Linked DNA regions of Saccharomyces cerevisiae S288C. Changing the gene in region 2 together with the main gene of any one other region gives a genetic interaction. Each region holds a gene or a part of one and is shown on either strand. Other genes may lie near its edges.

Evidence for each region.
Region 1: mutations in ZDS2 (region 2) and IGO2 impair growth when combined (synthetic growth defect), as found in Saccharomyces cerevisiae (2 studies listed by BioGRID, with this or other methods).

What each region holds. Positions count from the first base shown.
Region 1 is NC_001140.6:368,120-370,949, forward strand, and holds IGO2 (phosphatase regulator), read left to right. Parts: upstream 1-1,934; coding exon 1,935-2,330; downstream 2,331-2,830. Other genes in the region: ECM14 (putative metallocarboxypeptidase), read right to left, coding at 383-1,675; NSG1 (Nsg1p), read right to left, coding at 2,603-2,830. UniProt on the Saccharomyces cerevisiae protein: Required for TORC1 to properly control gene expression and chronological life span. Plays an essential role in initiation of the G0 program by preventing the degradation of specific nutrient-regulated mRNAs via the 5'-3' mRNA decay pathway.
Region 2 is NC_001145.3:49,800-54,992, forward strand, and holds ZDS2 (Zds2p), read left to right. Parts: upstream 1-1,840; coding exon 1,841-4,669; downstream 4,670-5,193. Other genes in the region: COQ5 (2-hexaprenyl-6-methoxy-1,4-benzoquinone methyltransferase), read right to left, coding at 232-1,155; YML108W (uncharacterized protein), read left to right, coding at 4,994-5,193. UniProt on the Saccharomyces cerevisiae protein: Acts as a negative regulator of polarized growth via an alternative mechanism to ZDS1. In heat-stressed cells appears to play a role in localizing BCY1 to the cytoplasm. Seems to interact with, and down-regulate, CDC42. Also acts as a suppressor of PKC1.

The sequences.
Region 1 (2,830 bases), on a different chromosome or scaffold from region 2:
AGGACTTACAATGTTGATCTCCTGAGTATTGTTAATGTCCAAAATGACCGAACAACAGCGGATAACGATATATATCCTTCTTGCAATTATAAAGAATCGTAAGATAACTCCGTCAACGATGATGTGGAAATTATGACCCTCTTGGAGGCTTAATCACTAAAAAGGAGATGAAGCCTTCAAGTCACATCAAAATAATCGAAGCCAACACCAAAGAATTTTACAGATTGGTTCTGCTCATGTTAGGGGGTGTATGAGCAGATAATCCAAGTTAAAATAATTTTTTGGAGAATATAGAAGAAAATATATAAGGTTTTGCTTTTTCTAGATTTTATATAGGATAGGGTATTACTAACTTGTAATATAATGTATACCGTGGTATCCATTATATCTCTGGGTCTAGTAGGAAGTCACAAAAGTACTTTAAAGCAGCATAAGTTTCCTTTCCAACTGGCTTGATGTTTTCTGGAGGCAATAAAAATCCATGGTTCCCTGTATCCCGTAATTTCAACTGGAATGCCCAATGTGCTCTGTGGTGGTACATGAAGTCCAACGCAGAACCTGCACCGAGGCCGGGGAATATGTCGGAACCACGGTCCTTACATGCGGAGATTACGTCGTAGTTTCTACCTGATTTTGAACGGATGGCCTTGGATAAGCCATATGATAACTCCAACAAATTTTCTAAGTCTCTGGGCAAGGCATCACACGAGTATGCGTAGGGATATAAAATCTCCTGTGAATACGAATGCATGTCAATGTAGCCATAAATTTTGTAATCGCCCTTGGTTTCATTAATATACTTGTACCAAGCAGATGCTTCCCAAGCTTCGAAGGGCGTTTCCCCACTATACTCTTCGCTGCAAGCGTGGGTGTGTGCCTTTTCCCACTGGAAACCAAAGGAATGATCAATGTCGATACCAAGACATTGAGGAACATGAGTCCTTTGACGATTCTTACGCCATAGTCTGTCATGCGACCACGTATATGCGTATCCGTCTGGATTGAACACAGGTATGACTAAAAAGTCCAAATCGTCCAGGTATTTGGTTTCCTTCTTAGACGAACCATATCGATTTAACAACTGATAAAGTGCCCAACAGACGGTACTGACACTGATCCACTCTCTGGCATGTATACCACCTGTGATAACAATAGTCTTCTTTTCCGGGTTTGATTCTGGCTTGTTTCCGGATATATGCAGAGCTTTTAGCTCTCTGCCTTCAAATGTCCTGCCCAAGTGTTCCACTGCAACCAAACTGGGAAAGCTTCTTTCTAGAAGATCCAACCACATATAAATAGTATCCAGGTCCCTGTATTCGTTAAAGAAGAAATCGTAATCATTTTCAAAAACAGCCTGCTCACGTGCCATCATCTGACTTGTAGGCAATGTATTTTGTATCAATTCATTCATGTTATCTATGATCACCTGCCCATCATTTATCTGCTCACCTATTTCTTTAGGCAACTTAATATCAATGAAATTATTGCTTCTCGTCCATACATCATAATCATCTGTCAGCGGTGCGATCACATCTCTTACCAGGGTAGAATAGTTGTCTGAAGTAAACCTGTAAACAGCGTATTCACTGTAATCCTCTTGGAGACCCTGCACAGCACCTGTCACGGCTAGTAAAACGAAAAGAAAACAACCCCACAACGAATTCATGTGCAACATGATATAACTTAACACTCTGGTTTGTTTATATAGTGTTAACTTGGTCTTTTAAACCGTCGAAAATATTTTATCCTTCCTTCCATTTAGTTGGAACCATTTTCTAGTTCTTCGTAAAATCCGCAGTCAGCGCAGGAGAAAATAGAACGAGACAAATGATCTTTTAAATTACAGGTTATCGCGGGAGAATATTGGGGTTCAGAAATACAACACATATAAACAAAAATACGTACCAAAGAAGTGTTATAAAAGTGATATAACTATGTCAGAGGATCTTTCACCTACAAGCAGCAGGGTGGATTTGAGCAATCCTCATGGGTTTACCAAAGAGGGAGTGGATTTATCGAAGCTGTCACCACAAGAACTAAAATTGTATAAAATGTATGGGAAGCTTCCATCCAAAAAAGATCTGTTAAGACATAAGATGCAGGATCGTCAATATTTTGACAGCGGAGATTATGCATTGAAAAAGGCCGGAGTCATTAAGTCGGATGACGTTATCGTGAATAATTCTAGTAATAATCTACCAGTGACCAATCCTAGCGGTTTAAGAGAGTCTATTATTAGAAGACGTATGAGTAGTAGTAGTGGTGGCGATTCTATCTCGAGACAAGGAAGTATCTCAAGTGGACCTCCACCAAGATCTCCAAATAAATGACTAATGAAGGAATGATATTATGTGGTATTACTTTTTTTTTATCATCACTAGCTTCGGCTAAGCCCTTGCATTTTCAATATTCAATTACCAAATAATATATATATATATATATATATATGTATGTATGGTATACCTTGTGTTACTGATGTGTTTTTTGTTGACGTCATCCTTTTGATTTACTCACATGCTTAGTAAATGAAGGTTGTTGAGGCCTAAAAATCAGCTAAGATTTACACATCGATACTAATCATTGAACGCCCCTATGGGAACACTTAATTGAATAAATATCTGCCCAACTTGCTGAACATCAAAAACCCAAAAAAATAGAAATCTATAAAATACAACGCCAGTGACAACTGCGAGAAACATTGTGAGCAAGTGAACGCACTAAGGGCACCAATTACTAGACCTGGGAAAAAAACGGTTAAAGTGCCATCAAAGAACAACCACAGAACAATGTTTAATAAGCTCCATGCACCAGCTGCCTGCAAAGAGGAGGA
Region 2 (5,193 bases):
TCATTAATATTATTATATTATGTACAGTCACTTATTTCTTTTTTTTTTTTTCTTTCTTTCTTTCGTTCTATTTCCCCCTAGTATATACGAATTCTGCACATCACAGCAAAATATATGGCTATCACATGGCACAGGTATTACTAAAGAAGAAGAGAGACAGAAATAGTATAGGCATGTTTTACTAGCTTCGATTTTCTTGACAAAAAAAAAAGGAAATTTGTTCTATTTACTTTAAACTTTAATGCCCCAATGGATGGCACATATACCAAAAGTTAAACTTTCGTAGCCAGCAGATTTGAATCCTGCCTTCTCAATCATGGATTTGAACGTTTCTTGGTCAGGAAATCTTTCGATAGACTCCACCAAATACTGGTAAGAGTCGTAGTCATTAGCAATCATCGAGCCCATTACAGGTAGGACCTTAGCCCACTGTTGGTAAGCAAAGTCCATTAGGGGATTCTCAATTTTGGAAAATTCTAGACAATAAAAAATACCGCCCGGTTTCAAAACTCTATAAGCAGTGTTTAAACCCTTTTGAATATCGGTGAAATTTCTGATACCGAAGGAGACTGTGTAGATGTCCTTGGAATCAGAATCAATCTCCTCTAGTTTCTCACCATTAGAAACCAAAAATCTCACACGAGGATCCTTGAAATATTTTCCTTGTTCCATGGCTCTCTTCTCACCTTCTTTAAGCATGTCAGGGTTGATATCTACAATATCCATTGTAGACTCAGTGTCACCAAATTTCGACTCAGCATGGTCTAGTAATCCGAAAGCAATATCACCGGATCCCCCAGCCACATCTATGAAGTTCAAAGGAGTCGTAGAGTTTGGCCTTTTTCCCGCATCTAGTTTATTGATAAAATGGTCCTTCCACAATCTATGAATTCCTAATGACATAACATCATTCATCAAGTCATACCGATTGGCCACGGAAGAAAAGACATCACCAACTAACTTCTGCTTGGTAGACTTCAATACAGTCTTCGAACCAAAATGCGTATACTTCTGCTCTGGCTGTTCAGCTGCGGATGATAAAGGACTATTAACTTCTTCTTCTTTGCATGCTCTGTGAGCTTGCGTAAAACACCTAGATAATCTTAGCGGGACATTTACCAGCGAGCTTCGAACGATCCGTGAAGAAATCAACATTATATCTTTCTTGCTGCGATCTGTACTATTCCCTTTGCAATTGTAACAGCAGCTGTATAAGGAGTGAAGGTGGCAGATATCCTTATAGTTTCTTGTGTGATCCTTTTTTTTCCACTTTTTCAGTTTTTGTCAAATGCGGAAGCTAGTTTCCATATTAGGGAAGAGCAGGCAACAGGGCAGAATCCTATACGGAAAGACTTTCATTTAATGATACATTTGCCAAATAACTGTGTTCCAATATCGAGAACAGAACTATCGGATACCTTGATATTTGCTCAATGGTGTCACTTCCCGTTTTTGACATGTACTCTTCCCAATTCAGAAAAATTCTCGCACTTTTCCCACAGAGAAAACCGCAAAACTCAGAAATTTAGGCTGTGTATCGCCGATAGTATCACGGCCGGTTTATGCTTGATTTGGCTGCAAAATGGTCACATTGGACCTAGAAGTGGCCTTTTGTAGCTAATTATAAGTGCATGATTATTGTGACCAGTAACATTTGCTGACGCGTTGTGCGGGTAGCACACGCCGCGTCTTATTTTTGTTTTCATCTCATCTTCGTTAGATCATAATAATATGATTGAAAACTGGAGTAAAACGCTAAAGAACAGTGTCAAGGTTAGTAGTATCGTATACTTTACATTGATCACGTTTGCACTATAGACTGAATTTAAATTAGAATTTTATGGTACTGATGGAAGATATGCAAAACAAAGATGGCCATAATACTGTAGAAAACAGTAGTGGTGGTACGGACAGTAATAATAATATTCAAATGAGGCGAATGAGGAAGACACAGCTGTCCAAGAAGGAGCTTTTTGAGAAGAGGAAATCTGACGTGTTAATTGCTGCCAAGTCTTTAGATACAGAAATTCAGAATGTGAAAAATTTGAAGCGATTGTCGATTGGTTCAATGGATTTGGTAATTGACCCTGAGCTAGAGTTCAAAGTGAACAGTAGAAACTCATATTCTTCAGATTCCTCAAAGGAATCCCTTCAAGAATCGCTCCATGAAGAGAACATTATACGATCAGAACAAAAGGAAGAACAAGGGAGCGAAGACAATGATGCATATGAAGAGGGCGATGCTACTAATGTCGACGACAGTATAGATATCACTCAAACAGAGTATTTGCATGATGAAGAAACATTGGAGAAGGAAAAAATCATCCGTAATGCTTCTTCATCCACTTCATCTTCAGCAAGAGTAACGTCGAGGAACAGAAGGCTCAGTGGAGTAAAGACATTGGCTCACGATGTTGTATTGGATGTGGAGAACGACCACGATTCAAAAATGGTTGATTTAACTCAAAACCTTTTGTGGGTGCCCGCTGACCAACATCCTAACGTTAAGCCCGAAAACTATTTGGAATTGATCCAGGACACTTTACAAAACATTCAAATAAGCACAAATCAAGACATTGATGAAAACAAATTAGAACTGGGTAACAATCATGTAATTTCGAATAGAAAACGCACGGGCTCTGTAGTTAGAAGGCCTTCTCGGTTGAAGACATCTTATACCAAGTTTGATGACGAACCTCCCCTTGCAGACAAACCACAAGAAGGAGAAATACAAGTGGATAAGCGAATATCCTCATCTGACATCAAAACCATAAGATCTGTATCTTTGAAAGAAATTACTGAAGAGCTTACTAAGATTTCCAATAATGCCGGTTTAACGGACTCAGATGCGGTGACTTTAGCCAGAAGCTTGAGCATGTCAGGGTCATTTACCAACGAAAGTCTTCATTTGAACGGCAATCACACTGAAAATGATAACGAATTTGCATCAAATATGTTTAATGAAACTGGACTTACCATACCAGAGAGATCTTCTCTAAGGAGGTCTAAATTCAACACATATAAGATCAGACTAGAGGGTAGTAGCCTTCCACAGGCGGTAAAACTCAATAGCCTAATGAATATACAAACTAATGACAATCGCAGAAGTGCATCATCGCCTGCCTCCTACACACAAGTGCCTCAGGAGCAAGCATCATTGAATGATTTTCACGAGATTTTCGACCATTACAGAAGAACAAGTACTGATTGGAGTACCGAAAATGAGAAATACGTTGATAGCACCAACTACTATTCGGATGAAGAAGATTTGACACATGCATCTATTTCTCAAGAGAGCAGTCTTTTATCTACAGATAGTTCTAACAACAGCGTTTTAATAAAGCCGCATAACACTGGTTCGATGATTTCTGAAAAATTGGATCAGCACGTTAGCTCGAGTGAAAAATCAAATACCAATAACAGCGAAGCAAATCATGGCTGGTCATGGTTGAATTCTAGCAATGGAAGTTTGAACGCTAATGAACAAACTTATCAACAGCTTACAGATGATGAAGACGATGAAGAATGTGTGGACAATGAAAAAGCTGACTTTGTTAACTTGAGTGTATCGAGGAGAGCGAAATCTACCAAACGTGCCTCTGAAAGAATAAACCATTCCAAAAATAGACATTCGCCAATTTTCCAGATACATTCTGAAGAAGCAAAATCCGTGGTAATCACTCCTTCAGTCGTTTCTTCATCTGAATCCCAGCCATCTAAGCCTACTGCACCGGCAGTCGTGGAGAAAAAGGTAGAACTGCCTACTGACACCCAAGCCAGTACACATAAGAAAAATTCCTTGGAGAAAAGGCTTGCCAAATTATTCAAAAGAAAACAACATAATGGTACCTGCAAATCAGATGTGAAAGTAATCAAAAAAAGTGTTAAAAAAGAACTGAAAAAGAAGGCTTCGCATTCGAGTTTATCAAAATTCAGGAAAAGTCCCAAGAAAAAGCCCCAAGAAGCGGAAGTTGAACGCCCTTCATCCCCCACCAAAACAATTACCACCGAAGATATAGATACAGCAAGCGTCATTGAACCAGAAGTGAGAAGTTCAAATGCTTCCACCCTTCTTCCTGACAGCCATACTAGCCACAGTTCTGAATTTGTGGTGGAAACTATAAGCGAGTTAGATGGCGACGATTCATTTGATATTAGTGGTGGTGATGTAAACTACGACGTCGAAGTGCACTCTAGTATCAGTAGAGATACGACAGCTGGACTAGAAGAGGATATAGGAGCAGAGAGAGAAGACAACACTTCACCTACTGCCCCTCAAATCTCAACTTTGCCTCCAAGAAAATTGACATTTGAAGATGTCGTTAAACCAGATTACTCAAACGCTCCAATAAAATTCACAGACAGTGCTTTTGGATTCCCATTACCAATGATAACCAACTCTACAGTGATTATGTTTGACCATCGTCTAGGAATTAATGTTGAAAGGGCTATTTACAGACTCAGCCATCTGAAGCTTAGCGATCCCGGGAGGGAATTAAGACAACAAGTATTGCTAAGTAACTTCATGTACTCCTACTTGAATTTAGTCAATCATACCTTATACATGGAGCAGGTGGGCACTGGAGATATAGCCTTCAATGGTGATTCTGCCTTGGGAATGATGGACAAAAATGATTCTGATGGCACAATCTTAATTCCAGACATTTAACTCATAACTGTTTACAAGATTGATAGATACCTATATAAGGCCACATATTTCAAGTATTGTAAGGATGCCCTTTTAGTGTCAAACTTCTTATTATCACGAAAAACGTCGTCTTTTCATGCAAGGAAGGACTACAGTATATACATATAAATATATATTTATGTAATTATTTTTTTCTTTTTTTTTAAATTTTCTAGCGAGAATGAAGAAAAGCCGACCTCATCTCATCCTATTTGGAACAAATTCGAATGATCTGTCCAATACAGCAAGGCTACCTTGCGGTTGAATTCTATCTCGTACTACACTAAGACGAAAGAGAAAAACGAAATGTCCAAGAGTAATACTTATAGGATGCTCGTCTTACTAGAAGACGACACCAAGATAAATAAAGAAGATGAAAAATTTTTGAAAGGTAAGCCGGGAAAAATGCATGAATTTGTTGACGAGTTGATACTTCCATTTAATGTTGACGAACTGGACGAATTAAATACCTGGTTTGATAAGTTCGATGCCGAAATATGTATACC